Rattus norvegicus: one gene and its partners. The protein of the gene in region 7 interacts with the protein of the main gene of each other region in a pairwise test. Links are inferred from orthologs where the notes say so. Each region holds a gene or a part of one and is shown on either strand. Other genes may lie near its edges.

Evidence for each region.
Region 1: the proteins of Dazap2 (region 7) and Zc3h10 interact in binary tests that used the Homo sapiens proteins (3 or more experiments, as listed by UniProt). The two-hybrid records come from large-scale screens. The link is inferred for Rattus norvegicus from reciprocal best matches to the Homo sapiens genes DAZAP2 and ZC3H10.
Region 2: the proteins of Dazap2 (region 7) and Krtap8-1 interact in binary tests that used the Homo sapiens proteins (3 or more experiments, as listed by UniProt). The two-hybrid records come from large-scale screens. The link is inferred for Rattus norvegicus from reciprocal best matches to the Homo sapiens genes DAZAP2 and KRTAP8-1.
Region 3: the proteins of Dazap2 (region 7) and Tollip interact in binary tests that used the Homo sapiens proteins (3 or more experiments, as listed by UniProt). The two-hybrid records come from large-scale screens. The link is inferred for Rattus norvegicus from reciprocal best matches to the Homo sapiens genes DAZAP2 and TOLLIP.
Region 4: the proteins of Dazap2 (region 7) and Fam168a interact in binary tests that used the Homo sapiens proteins (3 or more experiments, as listed by UniProt). The two-hybrid records come from large-scale screens. The link is inferred for Rattus norvegicus from reciprocal best matches to the Homo sapiens genes DAZAP2 and FAM168A.
Region 5: the proteins of Dazap2 (region 7) and Poli interact in binary tests that used the Homo sapiens proteins (3 or more experiments, as listed by UniProt). The two-hybrid records come from large-scale screens. The link is inferred for Rattus norvegicus from reciprocal best matches to the Homo sapiens genes DAZAP2 and POLI.
Region 6: the proteins of Dazap2 (region 7) and Arid5a interact in binary tests that used the Homo sapiens proteins (3 or more experiments, as listed by UniProt). The two-hybrid records come from large-scale screens. The link is inferred for Rattus norvegicus from reciprocal best matches to the Homo sapiens genes DAZAP2 and ARID5A.

What each region holds. Positions count from the first base shown.
Region 1 is NC_086025.1:1,559,025-1,563,394, forward strand, and holds the start of Zc3h10 (zinc finger CCCH domain-containing protein 10), read right to left. Parts: upstream 3,018-4,370; 5' UTR 2,974-3,017; intron 2,589-2,973; exon of another isoform or gene 2,448-2,588; intron 2,208-2,447; exon of another isoform or gene 2,184-2,207; 5' UTR 2,120-2,183; exon of another isoform or gene 2,044-2,119; intron 1,884-2,043; exon of another isoform or gene 1,168-1,883; intron 898-1,167; 5' UTR 846-897; coding exon 1-845. Other genes in the region: Rpl41 (small ribosomal subunit protein eS32), read right to left, coding at 3,674-3,716, 3,935-3,957, 4,261-4,272. UniProt on the Homo sapiens protein: Specific regulator of miRNA biogenesis. Binds, via the C3H1-type zinc finger domains, to the binding motif 5'-GCAGCGC-3' on microRNA pri-MIR143 and negatively regulates the processing to mature microRNA.
Region 2 is NC_086029.1:42,203,291-42,206,099, reverse strand, and holds Krtap8-1 (keratin associated protein 8-1), read left to right. Parts: upstream 1-1,536; 5' UTR 1,537-1,581; coding exon 1,582-1,767; 3' UTR 1,768-2,094; downstream 2,095-2,809. UniProt on the Homo sapiens protein: In the hair cortex, hair keratin intermediate filaments are embedded in an interfilamentous matrix, consisting of hair keratin-associated proteins (KRTAP), which are essential for the formation of a rigid and resistant hair shaft through their extensive disulfide bond cross-linking with abundant cysteine residues of hair keratins.
Region 3 is NC_086019.1:206,398,322-206,402,159, forward strand, and holds part of Tollip (toll-interacting protein), read right to left. Parts: intron 3,787-3,838; coding exon 3,604-3,786; intron 2,549-3,603; coding exon 2,396-2,548; intron 1,243-2,395; coding exon 1,152-1,242; intron 1-1,151. UniProt on the Homo sapiens protein: Component of the signaling pathway of IL-1 and Toll-like receptors. Inhibits cell activation by microbial products. Recruits IRAK1 to the IL-1 receptor complex. Inhibits IRAK1 phosphorylation and kinase activity.
Region 4 is NC_086019.1:164,468,241-164,472,579, forward strand, and holds the start of Fam168a (protein FAM168A), read left to right. Parts: upstream 1-1,206; 5' UTR 1,207-1,418; intron 1,419-4,339.
Region 5 is NC_086036.1:66,406,731-66,411,024, reverse strand, and holds the start of Poli (DNA polymerase iota), read left to right. Parts: upstream 1-1,308; 5' UTR 1,309-1,342; coding exon 1,343-1,442; intron 1,443-1,457; exon of another isoform or gene 1,458-1,607; intron 1,608-2,779; coding exon 2,780-2,905; intron 2,906-4,294. UniProt on the Homo sapiens protein: Error-prone DNA polymerase specifically involved in DNA repair. Plays an important role in translesion synthesis, where the normal high-fidelity DNA polymerases cannot proceed and DNA synthesis stalls. Favors Hoogsteen base-pairing in the active site.
Region 6 is NC_086027.1:46,036,902-46,040,739, forward strand, and holds part of Arid5a (AT-rich interactive domain-containing protein 5A), read left to right. Parts: intron 1-1,883; coding exon 1,884-2,002; intron 2,003-2,840; coding exon 2,841-2,961; intron 2,962-3,241; coding exon 3,242-3,294; intron 3,295-3,620; coding exon 3,621-3,718; intron 3,719-3,838. UniProt on the Homo sapiens protein: DNA-binding protein that may regulate transcription and act as a repressor by binding to AT-rich stretches in the promoter region of target genes.
Region 7 is NC_086025.1:133,592,021-133,596,529, forward strand, and holds the start of Dazap2 (DAZ-associated protein 2), read left to right. Parts: upstream 1-1,516; 5' UTR 1,517-1,626; intron 1,627-1,681; exon of another isoform or gene 1,682-1,750; 5' UTR 1,751-1,915; coding exon 1,916-1,928; intron 1,929-3,076; coding exon 3,077-3,195; intron 3,196-3,880; coding exon 3,881-4,126; intron 4,127-4,509. UniProt on the Homo sapiens protein: In unstressed cells, promotes SIAH1-mediated polyubiquitination and degradation of the serine/threonine-protein kinase HIPK2, probably by acting as a loading factor that potentiates complex formation between HIPK2 and ubiquitin ligase SIAH1.

The DNA of each region.
Region 1 (4,370 bases), about 130 Mb from region 7:
ACCTTGGCCTGATTTCGGAATTGGGCGTTCTGCTCCAGAAGTACCTCATTGGTGGCCAGCAGGTTGCTGACCTGCTTCTTCAGTTCTTCCACACGTTTCCTGAGCAGAGCATTCTCCTCCTCGAGCAGTCTGCACTCCACTCCACGGAGCGGAGCCAAGTTACATTCATAGGACTCAAAATGGGGGCCATCAGGAGGGCAGCAGCCACCTCTCCGGCGCTTAGGGCCCGGTTCATGGTCCTCAAAGCCCCTTTCCGGAAGGTCATAGATGTCATAGAGATCATGCCGTCGTCCTGGGGGAGCAGAGCCTGTCGAGCCTCCACCTCCAGTGCCTCCTCCACCTCGAGCCTCAAACTCAAAATCTCTTTGCAGGTGACGAAACTTGCACTTGGTTCCTCTCTGACAGTCACCTTTGAGGAAGTCACGGCAGATAGGGACCTCCTCCTTACCATTGGGTAGGTCAGCAGGTGAGAGACCCAGCCCAGCTGCCACTTTCTGCCTCAGCCGAGGAGGCAGCTCTCCTGTTTTCTTATAGCCATCCTCATCCTCCTTGGAGCCATGGATGAAGCGGCAGTTGGGACGGCTACACTCCTTGTTTTGGAAGTCATGGCAGAAGATAAATTCGTTTTTGCTTACCCCCAAATTGGATACCTCACTCATGTCTGGGTGGCGGTATCGACAACGCTTGCCTCGCTTGCAGACATTCCTCAGGAAGTCTCTACAGATGGCATCTGAGGTGGCCCCCCCACTGCCTGTCCCTGCTCCACTGGCCTCCTCACTGCTACCACCTCCAGGGCCTGCACCGCTGCTCCCAGTGCCGTTGGCATAGCTGTCCCGGTCAGGCATCCTGGTTCCCCCCAGCTCAGGGTCTTGTTTCTTCTCTCGCCACTCTTGGTGACTGTTAAAAAAGAGAGAGAGAACGGTGTCAAACAGGTCCTCCAGAAGCCCCCAGTCCTCTGGGGCAGTGGCTCTGGAGATGGAGAGCCCAAGGAGAAGCCCAGCCGGCCCAGCTGCCTTGCCAGAGCCCCGCCTAGGCCCTTGTGCACCTGGTCTCATTTGGAGTGATTCACACTTGCCTGGCTAACAGAAGAGGGAGAGAGCTGGGCTGAAGCCACTTCTCTTACTAACATGAGCCGGGGAGGGGGAGGGGGGCAGTGTGAGGTTTTACCTTCTCTCTTCTAAGTCGTGGGAGAGAAACTAAAGCAGGTGTTGGTGTGTGAACACTGGGCTATTTTGCTCTGAGAACTCGTGGATGAAGGGACACCAGAAACAGAACTTCCCTTAATCCCTCTTCAATGTGAACTCAGCAAGTCTCCATGAATTGTAGAAACCCTTGGTAAAAAGACTGGTGTCACTAGTTACAGGGTCATCCTTAAACCTGTTCATCTCCCAGTCTGTTCCACACACAAACACCCTCATTTCGGGGAAGAAGCTCTGACCTGAACTTTCTACTTCTAGATCCTAGGACAAACTGTGGGATGCTCAAGGTGGGAAGGGGTTAATTTCACAGGAACGGTGACCTTTCTTTCCCCATTCTCCACCCCACTGCACTCCGACTAATATCAAACCATAGCACTCCTTACCCCATACAAATCCTCTTTATTTATAGACTCTATAAAAGCTTTTTAAGTCTCCTGTTTCTCAAGAGAGGTCTGGAATGTAGATCCACTGCCCTAATTCTAGCCCTCCCTTCTCTCTACCCCTAAGTAAGACTGGGAGTCCCTGCTAACACGTGTCTAATCTTCTAAATGTTCCCTAAATACTCAGGCTCCCCCTACAGGTCAAATAGGAGAGGTTCATAGTTTCCGTTTGGGAATAAAGGTACCTTTCTTGATTTCTTTGACCTATCCCATTCACACCCGTTTCCTTGACTTTGCCTTTAGATTTCCCTAAAATAACTAACAAGATTAGAAGCCAGAGATACACAAGAATATGCAAGATGGGAAGAGCAGACCCAGAGTAAAAGAAACAAGTGGTTAAAAACAAGCCCTTACTGAAAGAAAAATGACGACCGGGTGAAGACTAAATACCTCCAGAGCCTCACCTATATTTCAAGTCCCACCAGAAGCAGGTAACTGGATATGATAATCTTCCTCACCCCATTATCCCAGAATTAATACCTGAGGTAGCTCAGGTGAAGTCCGGGGCTCCCGTGAGTCTCCACCTCCACATCACTGCTGGGTTCTGAACAAGAAAGAAACAAAAAACCTGGAGATTTGAGTAGAACAAGGAAAACAACGTGAAAGGGCTACGAGGTGGTTTTCATACACTGAAATGAATTCTAATAAAAAGTGGCTTTTAGGCTCCCTTAAGAGTTCAAAGTGCCAGTCACCTATCATAGGGAGAAGTCCCTAATAAAGATAGGGCTAGGACCGACCAATAAAGATTGGGAAGCTGAACTGAAAAACAAAATAGTTTCTGGTGGCAGAAGGGTTCGGGGAGCTTTACCTCAAGATGAGAAGGATATGGGGTTCAGAAGGTTGGATTTCGGAACGCCAAACCTGAAAGCTGGACAAGGGCAACAACTGACTACTGTCAGTGGGAAGGCGATCTAAGACTTGGGGGCGGTGATTACGACGGTCCCCAACACCCTAGAGTTCACGAAAAGTCCTACGAGTTCCCCTGGAAGTCTTCTGGCTTGGCCGGCTCCGTGATGCGGCGCCAGCACTGAGCCGGGGACCAGGTGACTAGGACACTAAGGAAGCGAAGTGAAAGGGGAGGGGGGCTAAGGGTGACATCAAGCTGAGGGGATGGGCAGGGCTGTGACGTCACGGAGCTGGCGTTTGCTCGGGAAGCGAGGTCAATCAGAAAAAGGGCTCTGTTCTGGGTAACCAGGAAAAGCCAAGCCAGGTCGGTTCGGGGGGGGGGGGTTGTTGGAGGAGGCTCGTGGGGCCCGGCAGAGCCCAGCCGATGGGCCATCCCCGACTCCTCCCCTCCGGGCGCGGCCTCCACCTAAGTCTCCCGCCTCCCTCACCTGCCGCCGCCGCCGTAGTTGCTGCTGCCGCCTGCCGGTCCTCTAGCTTCGACAAAGAGCCGCCCACCCTACGGCTCTTCCGCTTCCTGCGGAAGAAAGGGACGCTCTAGCCACCAGACCCGGAAACACACTCTATGGTCCCATTGCGTGCTCTTAACCGCAGGAAGCTCCCAGCAAGCCTTGCGCGTCACCATGGTAACACGACTCCTCCGCACCCGGAACTCGCACAGCGTCAACTTCTACGCAGGGGCCCCCCAAAACATAGAAGTGGCACTGCGAATGCACGAACTCTAACTTAAACTCAGGCGCACACTAAATCAACTGGCTCCAGCCAGATCGCAAACACCCGGGCTCTTGTTGCCTACACTGGACTACACAACTCCCCACCCAAAGGAGCCGCAAAAAACACGTAACAGCGATTTGATTCTTCAGCTGACAGCAAGAGGGTTTATTGTACACGAGTTACACTTGGCCACAAGAGAACAGAACTAGTCCAGAATGCCAAAGGTCCAGGGCAGAGGGCCAGCGGGACTGTTTTGGTTGTGAGGAAGGTAGTCATTTTCCCAGCTGATCTCGGCGAGGTGACATTCCGGGTCTACTGAGACTTATTACCGACAGCAGCATACAGTCCAACCACTTGTTCCGGGCTTCAGCATCCCTTACTTCTGCTCCCGCAGGCTTCGTGGGTGCACAAGATGGTTTACTTGGACCTCTGCCTCATCTTTCTTCTCTTGCGCTTCAGCCTGGAAAGGCAGGCACACAAACCGAGTTAATTTTTTCCCCTTCCCACATTTACCATCTGCACTTCGTACAAAATACGATGAAATTAAACAACACCAGCTCCGATGAACCGTGCTTAAACGTCCCTCCACGCCAAACATTTTCACATTAAGTTTCTTCTAAACATCCCACCCCAAGCTTTGCCCCTTTGCCCCAATGTTAAGTCAAAAAATTAACGTACCTGCGCATTCTCTTCTTCCGCCACTAAAAGCCCGATCATGTGAGAAGACAAAAAAGAATGTTAGCAGTAGGCCCGGGTAAGAACATTACTCAGAAAACAGGTTTGACAAAGAATCAAGAGTTGGTGCGGCACTGGCTCAATTTTAGATCCGAATCTTGTTTTCCCACCTTCCTCCAGCTACGACTTAAGCCTGTACTCGGCTCTGTGAAAACCCGAAGCAAACCGTTTGCAAACCCGATGAAGAACCATGGCGGAGATTCACTGCCTGATTTTCCGCCTCACAATTCCTTCCTACCGCCCAAGCTCACCACTTATGAACCGCTCACCTTCGCTCTCATGGCGCAGGAGTCTCTAGAAAGAAAGGGAAGAAATTGCCGTTAGTCTGCTGTGATGAGAGTAAATGTGGAGGTCGGATGTTAATGGATTGTACTCGAAG
Region 2 (2,809 bases), on a different chromosome or scaffold from region 7:
CACATGAAGAGTTTGAATTTTAAGTTCTGAATCAGCATAGGCAGCACCCTGTTTATGAAGCGGGGTGGTGGGGCAACTCTGTGTTTTCAGAATTGTTTTTGCTGTAATTAAACAATTAGTGGTTAGAACACTGGCATAGCTTTGAGTTTCTCAGAGGCTCATTTTGTCCTTGGAATCAACATATGCCCCCTTGGCTGTTGATAGAATAAAATCACGTCTGGGATGTTAAGTAAAGTCTGAGGGCTGGTGTGTAACAGGTTTCTGGTTTGTATTGTCTGGCTTGATCATACTTTGTTTTCTATTTCATGCCATGTGCCCTCATCTGTGGTACTTTTGTAAGTCCCATATAAAGTTCCATGAAAGGAAGGCTCCCTGAAGGTTTTGGGAGAATGATATTACATCATATATGGTCCAAGACAGCTTTGATAACTCTAATCGTCCTCCAATTCCTATTTGTGTACTAAATCTCCACTCAAAGGAGACTGATCTAGGCTTCCCATTCTAGGGCAAATAACCATTCTAAAAATGAAACGGATAACATATATTTCATTCATTGATCATTTCCAAGGTAGCTACCATTTCTCACTCACTTTTACAATCTCTAGCATCTAACAATTACTTGAAATTCAAAAGATGTTCAGTTTATGGCTTTTTAAAAAATATGATAATGAGTTCATAGTATCATTTGATGCGTCATAAAAATTATATTTTTCAGATAAAATGCTCTCACTTGATCTAATAGAAAAGTAGTCTTCATTTTAGGATAAAGATTTCTATCATTTTTATTGTTTGCCATGTTGCTACTTTAAATATTGCCTGAAATAGTGTATTAGATCAACGAATCACACTGGTATGGCATTAGCATTGGGATTTATCAACAAACGATACTTTGATGTCGCAGATTTTTTAATTGCAGGGGTGGTATAGACATGTATAGACATGTACTACTAGATATGATTCTGATGGGGTTTTAACCAATTAACTTTTCCACACAGGTTAGTTTCCCACACAGATTAGCTTATAAATGGGGGAGGTCTCTGGTAAGTATCTTACACACTAAAAAAAAAGTCAATAAAGAAAGAATTCTTAAATCCAGCAAATGGTAAGAGAGACTCAGATTCTGAGACAAACTCATAGCTTACTATTTGACTTAAAGTCCAACACACATCTACTGATTCTAACTGTGCTTGTGTAAATTCAGAGCAGGTGATGACTGGATTAGATCTAACAACATCGGACTCTTTCTTGGCGTTACAAAGCCTGCTAACTGAAATTATATATAGGGTCTGCGAGACCAAGCGCTTTTGAAGTCCCTGTAATAACCCATTTTGGAAGGCACATAACTTGTTTGATGGAATCGTCTCCTTGCATTGTATCACAAAGAGCTTTCTCATAGACTCTTAGGCAAGAGCACAGCAAATTAACGAGCTTTGTGTAGTGCAAATTGGTCTCAAGAATGAAAATGAGGGCCCTGTGTTTTCTTAAGCCACACCTCTCAGTCAGGGTATATAAAGGCCGCCTGAGACTACAGAATCCATCACACTCACTCCTCTCCTACCTAAGCCTTCCACTCCTGACATCATGTACTACACCGACTTTGAGGGCTCTGTCTTCCCAGGATGCTACTGGGGCAGCTACGGCTACCCACTGGGTTACAGTGTTGGCTGTGGCTATGGTAGCACCTACTCTCCAGTTGGCTATGGCCTTGGCTACGGCTACAATGGCTGTGGGGCTTACAGAAGATACTGGCCATTTGCTCTCTACTGATTTGCTGTGATCCCCTAGGCACAGATCCATCTCTTCATGAAGGCTCCATGGTGCCTCCCGGTTCCAGCTTCACCTCCTTTTATCCTTTGCTCATCAACCTCTCCCAAGAAGCTGCTTTGTCTCCAACAAAGGAACTGAACATCTAGTTGATGCCTTACTCTGCCTTTCCTGGATGCTCTCTATTGGGACTTTTCCAGAAGCTTGGCAACCACTATAGCACGTGTTGCTTTTGAATATGTCAAGACTTTCATGATTCCCTGTCATGGTGAAGGTGTGGACGTGTCTGTCAAATTCTCAATAAATTTGTCTGAGCTTGCACAGCATTTCATTCCTTGAGTGGAGTTTCCTTTCTTGGTATGTGCATATTTTCTGATACATTCAGTGGGGAAGGGAAGCAGGTTTAATTTTAATGACTTAGACTTAGGAGTTGTGAAGAGGCAAATAATCCTTGATCTTGTGTGATAAGTTAGCAAGAGGGTGGTTACTGTTCCCGAAAAGAGTTGCTTCTCTTGGCTTTTCTTGTGTTGTGAATTATTTTGGCATGGAAGCTGGACAGGAGTGAGACAGCGAAGGAGAAGGAGGGATTTTATGAGTCTGACGTCTCTCATGTCAGGCATACATTGTTTGGCCTCCCCCTTTTATCTCACTGTCCCGGCCTTTCTCCAAGTAAACCAGTACAGGAGAAACTTCCACAGGTATTCTGTGTTAGTGTAGATGAAACTCACTGTGATCTGTCTCCCAGGGAATACCGATTGCAGAGTTTAGCACCATGTCCCCTCTTTAAGGACTCTGGAGCATTAAGTAATAGAGAAGGTACACACATCCTTTGAGAGTCTGAGATTCTGTTAAGCGAAGCAATAAATCCCCTGTATCAAATCATCTTAGATGTCTACTTTATAGCTTAGAGACACCCAGGTTAGAGACAATGATGGGAAGCTTCTTAATCTTTGAAGAATCAATATCTGGTAGTGAGCTGCACTATTAAAAGATATGAGCTATAACGAATGAGTATCTCTGAAGATATATCAGCCTTTCTCTGTGC
Region 3 (3,838 bases), on a different chromosome or scaffold from region 7:
TAAAGTTTCTCTAAGGACCTGGGTCACTGCCCACTTGACTTGTTTGCCCTCTACTGCAGGTTGTACATTCTAGTCTGCTGATCTGGTGACAACCTAGTCCAGTTCAAATACTGCAGGGCCCTGGAACCCTGTGAACTTACCCTCCCTTTCCTTTGGAAAACGCTGCCCTTTGTCCCTGCAGGGAGATTTGTCATAGGCAGAAGGCCCAAGTTCTGTCTGTCAGGGCTGTTTTCAGGATATGTGTGGGTGGATTTCATTCCCAAGTCCTGTACTATCTTCCCTCGCTCAGCTGGCGTAAGGGCTAAGTTTAATAAAGACTAATGAGTCACTCCATTCTGACTGTGTGGAACCCTCAGACCCCACACAGATGAACCACAGCAGCTCTGTGCTGTCCTAGATCCAAAGCAATGCTCACTCTGAGCACCAGCAAGCAGGGACCATATAGGCAAAGCCCCATCCAGGATCTCATATTCCCTCTTGCCCTATGGACTGGCCATCCCTACTGCCTTAGCCTTTGAATTCCTTGGGATAGCAGGACTACATGGTTTGCTTGGACTCCAGTTTCCTGAACCCTAGCAGAGAACAGGGGTCCTGAAGGCCTGCCCTGGTGTCTACTCTCAGAGCCACAGTCTTTCCTGTTGGCTAAGAAAGCAGGTGTGTGATCTCATCTGGCTTGCCCTACTCTGGTAGGAAGGCCAACTGGACACCAGGTACTGTGAAATCCACAGGAAGGTTAAAAATTAAAAAAATATATAAAAGCCACATCTTGACTTTACGACTCAAGCAGGTATTAATTTACATGGGTAAATACTTTCAACGAAAGCCATGATTTAAGATGTAGTATGCCTTGTCTAACAGGAACCAGATTTTCTTATTCCTACAACTCATACATGAAAATATTCCTAGACAACGTTTCTACACCTCTAAAAATTTCAACTCACCTTACTTGTGGCAAAAACAGAGCAAACACTACTTCCTATGTATACAAAAATAATTCAAATATGACACTGGAGTAGGTTTTAGAAGGTCTTCATTTAAAATAGCCATGCTTACACAATTCTACACTACTCAAGCTTCATAGGAATGCTGGGCCCCTCCCTCCTCCTGTCCTACTTTGTCCCTGGGATGCCTACCAAAGAAGCAGTACACACCTGCAATGGGCACATAGCCAACACCCTGCTGGTACACAGTTGGCATCAGAACCACAGGCTGAGGCGGCATCATCATGGCAGCTGGAAGGGACTGAAACACAACAAAGAAAAACATGGGTGTCAAGGAGGACCATACCATATGTCAATCTTGTTACTTCTGGTATCATAGGGCTAGTCCTAGCCACAGCCCAGACAGCAACACCCAAGACATGGAATCCTCAGCAAGAATGTAGTGTCCATGGCCACTGGTTTCATCTGCACCACTCCTGCAGACCTCCTCCCTTCAGCTGGAAGACTTGGGCTGCAGACTCAGAACTACAGCTCAGTTAGGAAAGTGCTTGGTGCACAAGCATGAGGACATGAGTTCAATCCCCGGCACCCATATATAAAGCTATGTTTATGTGTGTGTGTGTGTGTGTGTGTGTGTGTGTGTGTGTGTGTGTGTGACACATATCTATAATCCTAGGACGAGAGAGGCAGAGACAAGAAGATCCCTCAAGTTCATTAGCCAGCCAATCTAGTGAATGGAATGAGTTTCAGTTTCAGTGAGAACAAGAGTCAAGGTGAAGACCAAAGAAAACAAATGATGTCAACCACTGGCTCACACGAGCTACAACCACACCACTTCTCACACAGGACTTACAAAGCTCCCTTCAGGGTCCATTTTGGAGACTGCATCAGTATCAGTAGCTTCTCTCGGAAATGCTGAACTGCTTTGTTTTATTTAACATATCTTAGTGTTTTGTGTGCCTATATGTGTGTGCATTATGTGTGTGCCTGATGCCAGTGAAGGTTAGATTAGGGTATTGGATCCCCTGGAATTGGAGTTACAGTTGGTTGTCAGCCACCATGAAGGTACTGGGAATCACAAGAGCAGCAGTGCTCTTAACCTGTTGAGTCACCTCTCCTGCCCCAGCTCAAATAATCTTGAACTGTAGATGAGCGAGTATACAATGGACCTATGCTACATAAAGCACCTGTTAAAGATGGGTGACACTCCACACCAGGAGAGGCATGTAGGATGGTAAAGCGGAGGAGGCCTGCATACCGGGTGCTTTATACTCCCCTGTTCTCAAAGGCTCAAGAACAACTAAAAGGAAAGGCCCAGATAATACAAAGGAGACAGTGGGAAACCAGACCCCCAGCCCTGCCTCCCATGACTTCCCAAGGTTCTGGGAGCCATAGCTATCTCAAGGAGGTGCCAGACCCTCTTTGAGAATGGCCTCGCCAGACAGTGAACTCACCGTATAGGACATGACCAGGTTAATCATGCCCTCCTTGTCGTCGCCCTGCCTCCCACTCAGGCTATACCACTCGTCCTCCACTTGGCCCTGCTTCAGGGACTCGGGGATAGTGATGTGGGTCCAAGCTATGCGGTCGTCCATGGAGAAGGCTCGCTGAGGAAGACAAGAGTAAAATGACCTCATTATGGCCCTCAACGACCCATGTTATAGAGACCAGCTTTTCCTAAGGCTGTGCTTGGACTGCCGCCTGCATCTACCTTCTGTGTTCTTGGCAGGACAGGGTTCCTCTCACTGCTCCAGCTTCCTCCAAGGAGCTTCCCATTAAACCACAATCCCAGACATCCAGGTGACCTGTACCTGGCCACCACTACTTCTGCATCTTCTGAGTAACCACCATAAGGTCAGGCCAAAGGACAATAAAGAAATCTCTTGGCTGCCATCCTTGCTCAGGGATGGACACTGTCCTCTGCAGTCCTTGTGGCCCTAACTAATCAACTAGATAGAAGCTGTAAGTCTCAAGCCCAGTAGGTACAGACAAGGACAAGAGCTGCCAGCCCATCCATAGCCCAACCCTCCTTCCCATATCCCTACTCTTCACAGACGCTGAAGAAGAAAGCAGAGGAAGGGGGTAAAGACAAATGAGTGGCTGCGTCCCCCTCGCTGGACTACCCATGCCCACTTCCTTTCTGGCTCTCACCGTCCCCATTCTCTTCCCACTGCCCTTTGCTCTGTTTCAAGGAGGCAAGCACATGGTCTCCAGAACTAAGCTGCGAGAAGACATCTTCAGCCACCTGAGTTTCCTGACTGCCCTCAAAAAGTTGCACACCTAACTGCTGGTATGGCCATGGGACATTAGTGTCAGAGCCTGGAACTGAGGCCTGCAAGAACAGTGTTCCCCTCACTGAGGGTGCTGACTTATTTGTAATTCGACTTATCCATGAACATCTATCTTCACACTCTACTCATGCTTCTATCACTGGTGATGGCTCCTAATGGACACTGTCAAAGAAACTGTACTTTGTCATTCAGCCACTAAATGCCAGGTGTCCAGGCAGGTTACACCCTGTCACTAGTCACTAAATGCTAGGTACAAAGGTCCTGAGCACCAGTAGAACAGCCTCATGACTACAACCACAAGGCACATGCAGCACACCCATGGCTGCCAGATCCCAAACTTGGCAACTCTGTAACATTGGAGCATCTCTCACCTCATCGAAGATCTCAAGGTAGAACGAGTCCACACCTGGGGGCACTGTGCACTGAATAACCTTGTTCCATCGAGGGTTCTTGGCGCCATTGTGTGCTGTGGGAGTTTCATAAACAGCATAGCCCAGACGCAGGCGGCAGTAAGGGTCCATACGAGTCATGCCATAATTCTTTGCCAATTTGGCCTGAAATAACACCAAATTTAGAAAAATGAGGCATCCACCAGCAGAAACAAAA
Region 4 (4,339 bases), on a different chromosome or scaffold from region 7:
CGTATGTATATGTATATGAAATAGCTCTTCAGGTTTTAAAAAAATGGTGTGTGCTCCTTAAACAATTCAGGCAATATAAAGATAAGGGAAACTTGAAACCTAACTATCCTCTCTCAAAGATAGTCGCTGGTTACATTTTGGAGAATCTCTTTCCTGAAATCCTTATGCTTTTATATTCTCGAACTTCAAATAAATTGAAGCTGTCTAATCATGCTGTTTTTGCAATCAGTTTGCCCCTCTGACAAGATGACAAGAAATTGTGAAAAACCTTTCATGTCTAAAGATATTTACCATCATTTTAAATGGCTGCTTAGCATTACGTTGAATGTATGCATCACTATTTATTAAATCAGCCCCCTATCGATGAATGTCTACATTCTCCTCAACTCATATTCAACAACCTCCTATAATAACCGTGGGCATTGTTTTCTAAAAATTTCGATCATCTTTGCAAATTAAATACTTATTAAGTAATGTAAATGTAAACAAATGTCCTTTTTACAGGAAGATTCAATTTGGAGAATCGTCCTCTGATTTTCAGGGATGCCAGTGAAGCAGCTGCTGCATTAGTTCTAGCGAGACAGTGACAAACGGAGATCGCGAGAAGAGTACAGAATTACAGGTGAGGTAGCCAATCTAGGCCCAAGCTCAGTGGGTTGGAATAGTCCTTCCCCCTTTTCTCCCTTTCACTTCTTTTTTCTTAACATGGAGGAAGGACTGAGAACTGCATGTCCCAGCATTTCGCAAGGATCACACTCCTGGGAACTGTAGTACCGTGTCTGAGAGGGGTCCGGAAGGAGGGAATGGGAAGCTGTGTGCGGCATGCTGGGAGGTGTAGTCCCTCGGGCGGAAGGGGTTGCAAGTGTAGGTTGGAGACGTAGAGAGTTTTACTTCATGGAGATGAGGCTGCAGAAATATCCGACTTCTCTCTTAAGAGGTCTTTGAGTTTACAAAATCCCGTGGGAGTCGGCTTCATTCCCTTGTCTGTGACCCAAGAGGGTGCGGTCCAGGACCGGCGCAGGGTTGGGAGATCCAGGCCGCGCAGGGCCGCAGCAGAGCACACCGGGAGTTGTAGTCCAAGAGCTCTGAGGCTGTGGGACGTGTCGGGACAGCGCGCCGACTCCTCCTCCCCCGCCCTTCTCAGCGGTCCCCCGCCCCCTCCCTCCGCCTCCTCCTCTCTTGCCTGCAACCGAGCGTCCCCTTCCCCCACTGTCGGGTTTCTCCGCGGCTACTGCAGAGGATTCAGATCCGAGTAGCTGAAGAGAAGGAGGAGGAGGCTCCGGTCCCTGCGCGCCATCCACCACCCTACTGGACACGGACGAGGGAACGAGAGCGTCGCCGCTGTAGCCTTCAGAGAAGACAAGGGCATCGCCGCTTCTGCTGCCGCCGCCGCGGTTTTCGTCTGCAGCAGCTCGCCGGTGAGGAGACCCCCTTGGCCCCCGGCCCGCTCCCGTGGAGCCTGGGCTGGTGGCGCCGGGGAGAACGAGGGTGGGGGCCGTAGGGCCCCCGCGCCGGCTGGGGGGAGGGGACCGAGGTGGCGATGGAACGGCGGGCTGGTGGGGGAGACTTGTCCGTACGCGGGCTGGGGGTGGGGTGAGGGTGGGACACCAGCAGGTCAGGGGAGGGTAGCGGGGGGTGGATGGGTGAGGGGGGACGACTTTACATGGAGGGATAACCAGACCTGGGATAGGAGCATGGGTGTGTGGGGTACCGAGGTGGAATTTGGGATTGTCTTGGGGCGAGGTGGAAGGTGAGATTGGAGTGGGATGTGTTTTAATGGGGGAGGGGACTGAATGAAGGTGATGATTTGGGGTTGGCCTGAAGCAGTTGACAGCTTGGGATCAGAACGGGGTGGGGGCTAAGGAGATGATTTCAATGCCAGTGAGATATAAACATTGGATGGGACTCTGGGGAGTGCTAATTTTGGAAGGTGGGACTTGGGGAAGGAAGATGGAGATGGTAGGAGCTGGGGGTGAGGGGTTTGGCATGGGTTGAGACCCGAGCTTGAAGTGGGCTGTTGTCTTCTGGGGATGGTGGAATTTATGACTACTTACAGAAATAGCTTGGGCTTGGAGAGAACAGAAGAGGTAGAATTTGTTTGGGGTTTTCTTGAGGTAGGCTGCTGGAGGTTTGAATTTGGGCTGGGAGTGATGAGATTTCCAATTACTGGAGATGGGTGAGGTAAGCTGACAGGAGGGAGGGAATTGCAAGTTGGGCCCCAAACAGGAAGACAGGGATTGAAATTGGGGATGAGGGCTCAGTGGGGAAGGATTTAGGATGAGTTTAGAGTCTCTGGAGGGAGCAAGGTGGCTCCCCTGAGCATAAGTTGGAGGTAGGGGGTATGTGAAACTACTCAGCTGGACTCAACTAGAAGAACTGTGGCAGGTGTGGAGCAGGGTTAGGGATAGTATCTCGCTACCAGTCTCGCAGAAGTCATGTCTGTGATGAGCTGGTTACCTGCGGTGAGGTGGCAGAGGGTAAATTTAAGGCCTGGGAGACCTAATGTCTCCCATGGAGTGGGTTGGTTTATTTAGGAAAGGAAGGACTAAGATGTCCTTCGACACACCAGAGGTTTAGGGGTTAGAACATTTACATCGGGCTGCTGTGGTGAGAGACAATAACAAGGCCATTAGAAGGGTCTTCACCGGGGACAGAGAAGGAACATTAAAGATTCTCCTAGAGGATATCTTATGCTGTCAGTTTGACCTTTTTGTTTTATGTTGGAATTGTCTGGAAATAGCAGCCCCCAGGGTAAAGTTTTGAGAGAACCATTTAAGGTAGAATTAAAGGAGAGTGGGGAGTCTTGCAGTTCCTATGTCTAAAAGGGAAAGTTGGGGGTTAGAGGGGAGATCCACTCTTAAAGGAAAGGTGGGAGAAGGTGAAACTGTCTCTGCTTTCTCCTCCCCCCCCCCCCCTTGGTACACTGAAACTAGTCCTAGAATTCGGAATTTAAAAGGACTCTGATGAACTTGAGGTTGTTAAGGGTGCCTTCTTGCTTGAGAAGTGATTAACGAATAGGAAGACTGAATTTATTTTCTAGGCAGGCAAGGTATGTGTGTGCAGAAAGAGGTTAGCAAGCCCCACCTCCCCCCAATAAAATTGATTGCTTGAAGACTCCATTTATTGGTGTCCTGGTTTGCAAGGCATTTGGGCCCATCATTGTATTGCTGGCTAATAATCCTGAGATGAGTCTTGGCACTGCCGCTTTATGTAAACAGAGAGAAGACAGGAACTATGGAAATGTAATAAATATTCATTCTTTGGTGAGATGGTTTGGTACTGATGGAATTTTTCATTTGATTCTCTTGACATTACATGATAGGATTTAAAATAATTGGGCTGTTTCTATAGATTGAATTTTCTTCTAAAGAAATTCAAGTGATCAGAATTCTGTCAGGTGTGAATAAATGAAGTCTAATACACAGCCATATTTTATTGTTAAGGGGATGCTGTTGATGTAGACACATTGCATTCACTACAAGAGAATAACTCCCATCTATTCATCAGAAATTTGATTTGAAGCTTAGAGACGAGTTTATGCTTGTGGTTGGAAGGCCCAGAGGAATGTGAAGAGAGGGAACATCTTTAGGGAAACAGCTTTCGGATTTAATTGCATTAACTGTGATATGCTAAACTTGAAGTGGCTGTTGATTAGAGCATAGTCTAGGGAAAAAGTGAGGAGAAATGGAAAGAAGATAAAATTGATATCAATGGGAATTAAAAAAAATTTTTTTTTCTGTTAAAGTTCTAGTGTTCAGCTAGAAAACAAAGCATTTTCCTTGGTTTTCATAGCTTAACACATAAAAATACCCATTTAGAGGGTGGACTTATCCTTGGAATTGGAAATGTCCCTTTTTTTTAAAGGACGCTTTCTATATTCTAATCAAACCAAACCAAATGTAAACTGAAAACAAACAACAACAACAACAAGAAAAACCAAATAAATTCAAGCTTGAGCAGTTACCTGTAATTCATTGAGAGTGTAATCTAGCCAATGAGGGCCTTTCTCCTCATAACTTTACTCTGGGGTCCAGACCTTGCTTTTGTGAATTTGCAGGCATGCTCTGGACATGGGCTGGTCATGGTAAAGTCCTGGATTTTGAAATCTCAAAATAAGAAATCAGGTGGGAGAGCTGTTTGGGTGGATTTATTTTTCCAATAGTCATGGTTTACCTGGGCAGTTGTGAAGCAGACACTGGTAAAAAGTAGAGAACGGGTAGAGGGATTGGTAGCCTGGGTAAAATGAAGAGCCCAGGAATTGAGGAGTCGAGGGTTTTGACTTCAAATCCTGATTCCAACATTTGAAAGTGGAGTGATTTCAGTAAAGTCATAAAACCCT
Region 5 (4,294 bases), on a different chromosome or scaffold from region 7:
GACATTCCTGCTGATTAGTTTTTCCTTTAACTTGAAACAAGGTAGAGTCACCTGGGAAGAGGGAATCTCAAGTGAGAAAATGCCTCCAACAGACTGACTAATAGGTATGTCTGAGCGGCATTTCCTTGGTTAATGATTGATGTGGGAGAGCCCAACCTACTGTAGGCAGTGCAGCCCCTGAGGGGTTGGTTTTGGGCGGTAGAAGGAAGCAGGCTGCGTATTACCCAAATAAACCCTTTTCTGTCCTTGTTGCTTTTAGTCATGGTGGTTATCAAAGCAACAGGAAGTGAAGTGTGACATTTTTCTCTCAACAATCAGTATGTTCTACTCCACCAAGATAGGGAGAGAAAGGTATCAGAAGAAGCTCACAGAATCAAATATTGACATACCGGCACAAAAGCACCCCTAGAGAAGGCATGGACACAGTGAGCTGCTAATGTGCTAAGTGCTTTACAGACATCAAAATACTAAACTACGTTATTTCTTCTCCATTTATGTAATTAAGTGAATGCTGTTTTGTCTTTACAGTACAGGTTCAGAGCGGTTACATAACATACTCGGAGTCATAATGTCAGCAAAACCAGTCTGAAATGGTGATTTTATGACCCAAAGCTAGTGTGTCAAAGCACTATTATTATTTTTTTTACAAACCACTCAGGGGTTCAATGCAACACAGTCTCTCTAAATAAAACAAACAGACCTCAACAAACCTCAACATCTTTGCTAATCACGTCTTTTACGTGGGCATCTTGATCTTAATACAATCTATACCCTTTCCCCAATCCCATCAAAACAAATCACTCAGGTTTAGGGATTAGCGGTTTTGTTAATAATCATCGGAAAGAGAATATATTTAAAACGTTATTATTATTATTATTATTATTTTTTTACATGAGCCGAACACTGGAGCCCTCAGGGAAAACTGAATAAATAAAAGGAAGGAATGGGGTTGAAGAGATGTCTCAGGGGTGAGAATGCTTGTTGCTCTTCGTGGAACTCAAGAGCAGTTCCCAGAAGCCACCCGGGGCTCACAAACCCCAGTTAATTCCAGTTAACTTCAGTTCCTGGGGATCCAACGCTCTTTTCTGGCTTTTGCCGGCACTTGCACTCACACAGCATAAGCTCTCATATACACGTTTAAAAAAAAAAGATTAAAGAGAGAAAGAGGAGCATTCGGGTTCTTCCTACTCCACCTACCGACCACAATCAGGTCCTTCCCTATTCTCCCCGCCACTGCCACTCAGGCTGTTTTGCTTCAGTGCGCAGGCGCGAGGCTGGAGGCTGGGCCGTGGTTTCCTAGGAGACCGTGCAGCAGCTGCGCTGCGGTTGGCCCGAAGGGAAGATGGGGGTGGAGCCGGAGGAGGAAGGCGGCCCTGCGGAGGAAGAAGACTTTTCTCGTGCCATGGAGCCCTCGGACTCGGGGGCTGCGGGCGGCTCGCGGGGTGCGCGCCCTCCGGGTGATGGCGGGAAGGGAGGAAGGATGTGAAGGGCGGGTGCCCGGGGCGGTCGTTGGGTCGCGGCCTTCTGGTCCCGCTCGGGCCTGGAGAGTGCGGGCACTGCGTTGGCTGCTGAAGACTGGGGTGATGGCTGCATTCCTGCGCACACCGGTGGGGTGCACTTGTCTCCAGGGCGGGCAGGCCTTCTCTGACCTCCCGTGGGGACCCCTGCTGCTTCCGGCGGCCCCAAATCAGAGAATAGGAGGATTTTTGTCACCCATTTATGCCTAGAAACCTGGCCTCTGCCTGTGTTGGAAAGGATGGCCTGAACCTAGCAAGCAGGCTGGATTCCCTAGGTGACCCACTTCCACCCCAGCCTGTGGACCAGCCTTGTGGCGCCAGAATCAGCGCTGGGTACCCATTCCCTGACACATCCCACCTCCGGTTAACAGAAAAGTTGTGGCAGACAGGTTTCTTTTATATCAGCATTTTACATCTCCTTGGTACATATATTAAAGTCTGTACACAACCAATCCTCGTTTACTGGAAGACACTATATGCTCAGATTTTCTCAGTTTCCCCACAAATGTGCTTTTCCTAGCCCAGGGTTTCATTTAGCCTGCTTTGTAACTAAGGAAGGAAACTGTCCCTGTTGCTTCCTGTTGGACTCATAAACTACTGTTTACTCACTGGCCTGATGGCTTCATTCAGGTGCAGCCCTGACCCCGGTTTTTAAAATTAGATACTCAGTTTTTTAATTCAGTGCTTAAATTATTCGATTTCTGTTGCACCTCAGACACTGTTGTAGGCACTGGGGACTTTAAAACAGGAAATATTAACTCTTGTGGGGACTTAATTTAGTGTCTTGGAACCCACAGGTTGGGTTGTTTTGTTTTGTTTTGTTTTTAAATGTAGGAACAGGCCACTTTGAGTAGTTCTCAAGTTGGTTGAAAATAACATTGCTACAGTTTCTTTGCCTCTACTGTTTAAAAGCTTCTCAAGACCCTAAAATAGTACTGGGTTTTGTGCCATCCGTTATCGATCAAGAGTTCCCCCTTAAATTAACTAGTCAGAAGAAAAAGTAGCTGGAGAACTTATAGTCAATTAAGTTAATTGAGCAGGACTGAAGACCTTTTTGTTGATGGTGTTTCATGTCTTTTTGATTTGTAGGTACCGTAGAGCTTATTAAAAGTGGGGATTGGCTACTTCATAAATCCAAGGGGGGAGGGAAATGTCAAAGCCACTATATGTTCTTTTCTAGGTAAAACGTTTGAAGGATGTGCTAGTTGCTCTTTGACGATTAGCAGCCTGAATATGCTTGTTTTCCTTTGTGTATCGTGCAGCAGTTTGCGATCAAGGGGCACCATCACGAATCGCTTCGTCCAGAGTCATAGTACATGTGGACCTGGATTGTTTTTATGCCCAAGTAGAGATGATCTCCAATCCAGAATTAAAGGACAAACCTTTAGGTAATCCACATCGATGCTATCTTTGTTGAGTGGCGATAACATTAGCTTCAACTATGATTTATTAACCATTTTGAGGCAATTCCTGGAGTCCGTTTTTAGGTACTTCATTGGCGGTCATATTTGCTTTGCAGCCAGGGGTAAATGCACCAAATGTTTCCACCTTAATAAAGCTGATATTAGCATAGGTAACACACGCACAGAAAGCAGAATGGGCTCTTAATAGTCGTAGTAGCTTACTTCTGAAGGCTCAGCCTTAAGCAAGGAAAGTGGGTTTTCTTTCATGCACACAGAGAGGATCTTTACTATTAGCATAAAGGACAGTCTTTAGCTTCCTTGTTTCCTTCCTTTTCTTCTAGTACTCATTGCAGTGTCATAGCGTCCAGCCTGTGATTCCACGAAGGACAATGGGATGCCTAGGTTTTAGTTCTCCAGGGTGAGACTAAAGCTTGAAGCTTTTCTAAGAGGCCAAGGATTTAAATTAGGCCATCAGTTCTTTCCCTCTGAAAGAATTTCCAGTTAGCACAAGATGCCCAGTAGTTACTTCGTACTAAAAGGTATTTTGTGGTTAAGGAGTAGATATAAGTGGTTATCATGAAGAGAGATGTGAGTGTGCAAACAGGTCAGGCCAGGGCATACTGTGGGAAGCCCTTTTAGCTAAGGAGTTTGCCAGTCTGGCCGTTTCGTGTATGGCTCACAGAGTCATGGATAGCTACCATTGACTCAGGGCCTCTCAGATATTGAAAAAAAAATGTACCTGCAAAACTAACGTTCTGTCTTAGGACATTAGGTTTAAAAATATGCAAAAAGAATGGGTTTAGGTGTTTTTCATATTTTCATTCTATGTATTGCAGATGAATATGACTTAAGAGAGTCATGAAATAATCAACTTGTGTAAAAAGAGAAAAGCACATGCGCTTAGCAATTTTAAATGTGTTCTATAGATGATCATAATGTTGCCAATTTTAAAAAGCCCCACATAATTCCTCGCGGTAGCACTACTAATTGTTATGCCTAGGGTACTTATTGGCAGGAGATCTCTCATGATTTCTGTGGCTTGGCTCTTAGAACATTGCTTATGTTCACTGGCAGTTTGCTCGGAAGATGAATGTTTTTATAACATCAACCAGCATTTAATTGTTTTCTTTTGTTGTTGTTTTTGTTGTTATTTCCATCAGGTTATTGTTTGGTGAACATACCCAAGAATAGTACACGACAATATAAATTAATTGGGCTTTGAATTGTCTGAAAAGAATCTTAGAAGGATTAAATGTGTGTTTAATCACTGAAAACTCCAAAGAGTATATTGACTTAAGCATAATTTAGATTTGAGAGACACAGCTTCCCTTTGGGTACTGGTAACTGTCCACATTCTTCTGTGTAATTTCTGCT
Region 6 (3,838 bases), on a different chromosome or scaffold from region 7:
TTCCAGGAACTGAGTTGGATAAAACAGATCAAAGCAGTAGCCCTGGCCTGGAGGACTGAGGGCTGCCTCTGTGGCCACTTCCAGGCCTTGGGCTGGCACAACTCTGGAGCTCTGGATTCCAGCCGTTGACCTGGTCTGCAGAGCGAGTTCTGGGACACCCAGCCCTTTAATTGGACATGGTATCATGTAGCATGTAGTTTCTATACCTCCCTTTAAGCTCAGGGCAGACTGAGCTACCAGCCCTCACCCAGGAGCCACCTCGGATCCGCAGATGAAACACAAACACACACACACATTAGCTTATTTTTAACAGCTGGACTCTAAGCCTTCCTCGACTACCACACCCTTCTTTTCACTCCCAGCTCAACACCCTAAATCTGCCCTCAAATTAGTTGTGTCTCTAATCTCCTGCCTGCTACCCTAGGCCCAGTCTAGGCCAATGGTCACCCTACCCACCTGAGACCTCACATGGCTATTGGCTCTTCCCCCCTCTGAAGCATGGCAAATCTTTTCTCCTCTCCTGTATCTGCTAGCCCACCTGCAGGGAATCTGGAAGCCCTGCCTCTTCCGCCCAGCCAGTAGCCAGTAGCATCGTAATTGATCAATCAAGAACCAATTGGAGAACAGGACCTTCAGGGTTCACACGCAGATTTCTGATCAGAGCATCAGAACCACCCCATACAGTATCATATAATGCCTGTCACCCCATCCTTCAGAAGGCAGAGACAGGAGGATTGCTCTATGTTTTAGGCCAGCCAGGGCTACACAGTGAGACATTACCTTAATTAATTAAATAATTAATTAAAAATTTTGGTCCAAATCTGATGGCAACTTGCCTCATCACCTGATATAGATAGATAGATAGATAGATATAGATAGATATAGATATGTATATGTGTATATATATGTGTGTGTGTGTGTGTGTGTGTGTGTGTGTGTGTGTGTGTATTGCAGTGGCCAATCTGTGTTGCTTTTGCAACCTCCTGCCCAGGCCACAGCTTTCAGTACACGGTGGCACATGTGACTTCCCCCGGGTCATCATCACAAGCCAAGAACCTCTATCATTCCTTTATCTAGCAGCTGTCTTGACCAGGGGCCAGGGGACTCATGGGTTTGGGCAGTTTGCAGTTCAGTCATGACGGACAGGACAAGGAAGGACACAGGAGTGCTGGAGTTAGCTGGGGCTAGCCAAGGCTACCCAGAGGGAGGGATTATGTCTGCTTTGAACGGCCATCAAGAACCTTGTTATTGAGGGCCTAAGAGCAGTAGGGTGACATCAAGGATGAAGCCTTGATGACATTCAGCCGAGCTACTCTAGTGCTTTCTCCCTGAACTTGGGCAGATTTGAGAGAGAGAGAGTGTCCCCAATCCTACCCAGACTCCTCTGGTTTGATCCTGGACAGTAATGAGGAGGCTGAGGGTTTCCTGCAGAGACGTAGGGGAGTGATTAAAATGGAGGTAAGAATAGAGAATGGCTGGGCTGGAGAGATGGCTCAGCGGTTAAGAGCACTGATTGCTCTTCCAGAGGTCCTGAGTTCGATTCCCAGCAACCACATGGTGGCTCACAACCATCTGTAATGAGATCTGATGCCTTCTTCTGGTGTGTATGAAGACAGCTACAGTGTACTTATATACAATAAATCTTAAAATAAAAAAAGAATAGAGAATGGCTGATAGTCCAGGGTGAGCCAGTGTGTCTGTGCAAGCGTGCGTGTGTACGTGCACATGTGTGCTGCTTAGAGGAACAGCTCAGTGTGGCACTGACCAGCACAGAGCACTCACCCCTTCCCTGGCTGATGTGAAGGCCCATCCCTCAGCCCCCTCCCCACAGTCCCTCCTACCCACATCTCACTTGCCTCTCCTCTTCTGTTCCCCTTTCCCAGCAGCACCTTCGGCTAAGGGGAAAGCGGAGCAATCAGAGGAAGGTGACCTCCAGGAGCCCCCTGTGTCCCCCAAGCCTCAAGATGAGCAGAGCAAGAGCCAGAGCCCCATCCAGCTTGAGGTGAGTTGGACAAATCCTGGGACCTCTTCCCACTGGGCCCAGCCTCCAGGGAACCTGAGACACCCCAAGCTCGGAGAGGGAGACAGGTGTCTACCTCATCTGGCAGGGCTGCCTGGGGCCCCACATTGGAAGGTGCAGGATATGGGTGCTAGGCAAGGCAGGACCTCACCCGGAGTTGTAGTGGAACTCTGATAATCTAACAACCTGGACTCAGTCACGAAATGGACGAACATACGTCTGAGGCACTAAGGCCTATTCCCACCCATTTGTCAAACTGATAGCGGGAAGCTACAGGCTGTAGGCCGCTTGGTACCAGGAAACACTGAGTGCCTTTGTGCATTTAGAACTTTGGATTTTGGGGCAGGGTATCTCTGTGTAGCCCTGGCTGTCCTGGAATTCTCTCCGTAGATCAGTCTGGCCTTAAACTCACACAGATCTGCCTGCTTCTGCCTCCTCAGTGCTGGGATTAAAGGTGTGCGCCACCACTGCCTGGTGTGCATTTGGCTTTTACCATATGGTTTAGGAACACTGACCCTGCCTTCTGAGAGCTGAGTTGGATAAAACAGATCATAGCAAGATATAAAAGTGGCCCTGGCCTGGAGGGCTGAGGGCTGGCCCTGTGGCCACTTCCAGGACTCTGGAGCTCTGGATTCCAGCCATTGACATGAACCTGGGCGCTAAGTCTGGGTTGCACTTGTGTGACCCGGGACAGTAGGCTTGGTGCTCCCAGGTAGCCCACAGTCGGGACCTAGGCACTTAGTCCTTCCCACAGCCGTGGTTTTCCAGTGTCCAGCTGCCCATCAATGGGGCCCATCCATGCCTCCTGCTCTCTCCCTAGGACTCCCCTAAGGCAGGTGGGGAGCAGGAGGAAGAACAGGCCTTCCTGGTCAGCCTCTACAAGTTCATGAAGGAGCGACACACGCCCATCGAGAGGGTGCCCCATCTTGGCTTCAAGCAGAGTGCGTCCCAGGGGGAAAGGGTGCAGGGGGGTAGATATAGGGGGCAGCCAGGGGATCCCCCCAGGCAAGACAGCAGGCAAGGCACCTCTGCTCCAGGTGACCCTGGATGCCACCAGCCTATAAGGGTTGCCTATGAGGACAGTGCCTCCCTGAAGGCCAGGGGTGGAGTTGGGTTCCCATCCTCCTGGCCATCTGCCAGCCTGCCCCATGTATAACAGCGGTCCTGCCTGGGAGTGTGGGGTTGTAGAGCCTGACAGTCTGCCTTGCCTCTTCCCTGCAGTTAACCTGTGGAAGATCTACAAGGCAGTGGAGAAGCTGGGGGCCTATGAGCTGGTAAGGAAGACTCTCAAGTCCCTTCCTGAGCTCCAGCCTCAGCCATACCCCTAGCAGGAGCAGGGTGGTTGGCAGGGCTGTCCTTGCCTGCAGACTGGAGGAAGATCAGAACACCCAGGCCCTGCCTGTGTGCTGTGGGATGAGCGACTGTGCACTTTGTATCTCTAAGCAGGTTTCCTCCTATCCACTGTTCCACCCTCCACTGGCACAGCTGGAGAAAGAACCCCCCAAATTCAGCTCTCATCCTCTCCCTGCGAGGGGAGCCTGGAGCTGAGAGGGTTCTGTGGCCAGAGGGTACTCAATGGCCCGTCTTTGGTGTCTTACAGGTGACAGGCCGCCGCCTCTGGAAGAACGTGTATGATGAACTTGGGGGTAGCCCGGGCAGCACCAGTGCGGCTACATGCACACGCCGCCACTATGAGAGGTACGCATGCCCTTAGAATGCTGTACAGCGAGGTCTTCCCCATTCCAGGGGCTTGGCAGGCGTGTGCTGGGAATGGGGTACAAAAGTAGTATTGAGACAGATGTGCTATTTGTGTCCAGA
Region 7 (4,509 bases):
CATCTGCATTTTTTTTTATTTATCTGTTGTTATTATTTTTATTTCATCATGTCTATGGGTGCTTTGCTTTAGATAGTCAAGGAGATGCAAATACCACAGGCTTTATGATACTGATTTAATCCGAATCAAACTAATAATATAAACACATAAAGGGAATTTTTAAAATAACCTAAAAGAGTTCCCAAGCAGCCTTTATTTAGTGCAGCCTATACATGCTCTATGTGTCTACAGGAAAGCAAAATGGAAATCCTGATCCCGGAACCTGGAAGGCAGAACACAAAACTTGAGTCTGTAACCTGCCCTCGAGATCAGTTTTTCTTTTCTTCTCAAATGTTTATTTTTGTGTCTGCGTGAACCTACGACACGCATGCGCAGGTGGTCCCCAGGATGAACCAGATCAGCCTCTGGAAGAGCATAAGTGTTCTTGACCACTGAGCCTCCCCACCAGCCCCATCAGTGTTCTGTTGGAGAAGCAGGGATGCTCAGATAAGCCCGCTTGCCTCTCGGGCTGCTGTGTGGGACTGGATGAAACTGCATTTACAGGACGCCTTGCAAACTGTGATAGTCACCTGACACACAAGCAAGGCCTTCTTGGTGTTGGACGAATCCAGAATCCGTTCACCGAGGGCCTCTCGCTCCAGAGCCTCTCCGTCTCCTTGAGCGCGCACAACACAACTTCTGCAGACAGCTGCGTCGGTTCCTCACTCTGTGCGTGCCCATGAGGAAACGGGAAAAGTGTAATCACGGTCCTAAGAGACGTCGCCTCTACCCTTCAGGACAACTGGGAGTGGGCTAAGGCACACACAACGTCTGTAGGAGACTACAGGCCCCCTTAGGACGTGCCAGGCCAGGGTCAGCCTGCGCGGGGCACGGTCCATCTCAGGGCAGGAGCTTGATGCGGTGTCATGGTTTGTATCAGGGCGCCAAGCAGGGCGCGGGGACACGGTCTACCTCCGCACGGATCCGGGCGCGGGGGCAAGGTCACCGACCCCGGGCGCTGGACCGTCAATAGGAGGCCTGGAAGAACCGGAACGCGGGACAGGCTAGGATCTGAGGTCCAGAGGTGGCTCAGAGCAAGGGCGCCGCCCTAAGACAAGCCCTCTACGAACTTCAGGGCCCGGTGTGAGGGGTGGGCGGGGCACTGGTGAAGGCGGGGCATGCGGGGAGGAAGGGCTCGCGGTGAGGAGGAGGTGCGCGGTGAGGGCGGGGCCACGCAGGGAGGGCAAGGAGGGCGGGGCTACACGATGAGGGCGGGGAGCGCGGTCAGGGCGGGGCCACGCAGGTATGAGGGGCACGGGGTGAGGTGGGGCCGCGCAGGGAGAGCGGGGACCCCGGGGAGCGTGGGGAGGGCGGAGTCACGCAGGAATGAGGAGCTTGGGGTGAGGGCGGGACCACTCAGGGAGGGCGGAGTCACGCAGGGAGGGCGGGGCATGCGGTGAGGGAGGGGAGCGCGGTTTGGGCGGGGCCGCGCGGGAGAGCGGTGTGGGCGAGGAGGGCGGGGCCACGCAGAGGATAGCGGGCACCGGGTGAGGCGAGGCCGCGCAGGAAGAGCGGGGAACCCGGGGAGCGCGAGGAGGGCGGAGCCACGCAGGAAGGGCAGGGCATGAGTTGAGCCTAAAGCGCGAGGTGAGGGGGAAACCGCGCAGGGAGGGCGGGGCCGCGCGGGAAGGAGCTGCGCGAGGTGAGAGCAGAGCGCGCAGGGAGGGCGGGGCACCCGAGAAAGGCGGGGCTGTAAGCGCCCTCCTTGCAGCGACTGGCGGGCCTGCGAGGGGGCGGGGTTTCCGGCGGCAGTGCACTCGGGCATCGACTGACGCAGAGTGGACGGGCGTCACGTGACACGGAAGTGACTCCGAACAGGAAGAGGACGAGAAAAATAACCGTCCGCGACGCCGAGTGGAAGTGGATTAGAGCCACCATGAACAGCAAAGGCAAGGCCGGGAAGCGGCGGAGGTCGTCGGGGACGCGGGCGGGTTCGGGTCGAGTGGGCCCGGGGGCGGCGGGCTCGGGGCGGTCAGGGCCGCTCTCCTCAGCAGGCCGCGGAGCGGGGCCGCACCTGACGTGTCCGCCCCCCCTCCCCCACACACCGCAGCAACTCGGCTCTCCGGGCCCCGGCCCCATAAACTCTGTGGCGCAGTTTGGAGCCGCGGGCTCCAGTGTGTGAGGTGGGGGTGTTTTTCCGTGACTGACACCGGCTGGAGCGAATGGGGAGCTAGAGCAGGGATTTGGGTAGGCCAATGGAGGACCGGCAGAGGCGGGGCGCCGCGCTTCGGAACAACAGGCCTTGGCCGAGCTTAACTCGTGAGGTGCCGGCTCTGCTGCCCAGTCCCGGCCTTCAAGGATCCTTTCCCGCCTGCCTTCGACTTTTCGCGCTCCCTCCTCAGGGCCAGGATTTATAGTCGTGCCTGTGCTAATGTTTGTCAGACCATGGTCGCGTTTACCTCCCGCCCCCAGCCGCCGCCCTTCTCATGGTTAACTTCCATTCACTCACTCTTTGGAAGTCGACCTTGAGTAGGAACCAACCCGTGAGGTAACACGCAGAACCGTGGGTTCCACAGAGTCTGCACTGGTTACCGCACAGTCCGTGGGAGACTACCCGGACTAGAAGTCCCCCCAAAACACCAGCAATCCAGAATCCCCGGCACGGGTTCTCAGACCTGTCCTTTATTTGGGAGGGAACGGGGCCAAGTTACACTTGATTCCTCCATCAGTATGCTAGTGGGAACAGCGCCTTCTGCCCAGTCAGAACCCAGCACCTTCCACTGTGAGGGTGCAGAGACAATCTTTTATTTTCTTGGCTCTAAGAGCTAAGGCCCTGTGGGGCAATCTGTTTGCAATTCTTCTGCTTGAGCTCACCAAGTTAACTGCCCGTTTTACAAATTTTTTTTATTGTCTGTGAATGTGAGGGTAGGTGCCCACAAAGACAGAAGCTAGAGTTGAAAAGAGGTTGTGTCAGATGTGGATGCTGGGAACAGAACTTGGGTCCTCAGGAAGAGTGGCATTTTGTCAGGAGCATCTTTCCTATTTGCCACCTCCCTAATTTGATAGACAACATCTCTCTTCCCCTTTTGTATTCCAGGTCAATATCCAACACAGCCTACCTACCCTGTGCAGCCTCCTGGGAATCCAGTATATCCTCAGACCTTACATCTTCCTCAGGCTCCACCCTATACTGATGCTCCACCTGCATACTCAGAGGTACTGCACTTTGCTAGACTTTTAACTATTTGAATACACTCTTGGACCCCTCCCCCATTGTTAAATCTTCAAATTCAGAAGCAGAGAATGCTCTATGAACCGTCTAAAACATAAGTTAATAATTACCATTGGAATTGAACGCATTATCTGCTTGTTATTTGACATGCTGAGTTAGGCTGAGTTTGGGTCCCTTGAGCCCAGTAGTAGCTGTGGATGCAAATGACCCAGAAACTGTGTGCCAGTGACAGTAACCAGTGTGATCCACACACACAAGAACTGAGAATGGACTCATGAGCCATGCGTGGTGGTAAGACCAGTAGTCTCAGCACACGGAAGGCTCAGGCAGGAGGAGCTTGAGGTCAAGACTGTCTTGGGCTATAGAACCAAACCCCATTTCCAAAACAAAACAAGGGGCTGGGGATGTAGTTGATTTGGTAGAGTGCTTGCTTAGCATGCACCAAGCCCTGGATTTGGTCTCCAGCCCAATGTGAGCTGGATTTGGTGGTGCAGGCTTTTATTTCCATCAGTCAAGAGGTCAAGGCAGGAGAGTCAGGAGTTGAAGGTCATCCACTCCTACATTCTTGCAGGCTAGCCTGAAGTACAGGAGATGGTCTCAGCAATACTTAGAGGAATTTCAAATACCAGTGTCACAGAAATATTTTGCCTTCTCTTCTGCTTCTTTTAGCTCTATCGTCCAAGCTTTGTTCATCCAGGGGCTGCCACAGTCCCCACCATGTCAGCTGCATTTCCTGGCGCCTCGTTGTATCTGCCTATGGCCCAGTCTGTGGCTGTTGGGCCTTTAGGCTCCACGATCCCCATGGCTTATTACCCAGTTGGTCCCATCTATCCACCTGGCTCGGCAGTGCTGGTGGAAGGAGGGTACGATGCAGGTGCCAGATTTGGAGCTGGTGCCACCACTGGCAGCATTCCTGTGAGTATGCCTAACCAAGAGCTCAGCCCTCGTGCACTTGAACCGTCTGAAATGACTTCATACTCATTCTCCTACCATCCCAGGGTAGTAGTAGTCAGGACTGGCACAGCTGCTGCCCTCTCATGACAGAAATGTGGCTGGGCCAATCAGGGCATTGGGCACAGTCCTTAGAGTTAATCAGATTCATTTGTCTTCTTTTTTCTTTTTTTTCAGAGCTGGGGACCGAACCCAGGGCCTTGCGCTTGCTAGGCAAGCGCTCTACCACTGAGTTAAATCCCCAACCCCTCATTTGTTTTCTTGTCCTATTAAAATCCTGCTAGCGGGCTAGAGAGATGGCTCAGTGGTTGAGAGCACTGACTGCTCTTCCAGAGGTCCTGAGTTCA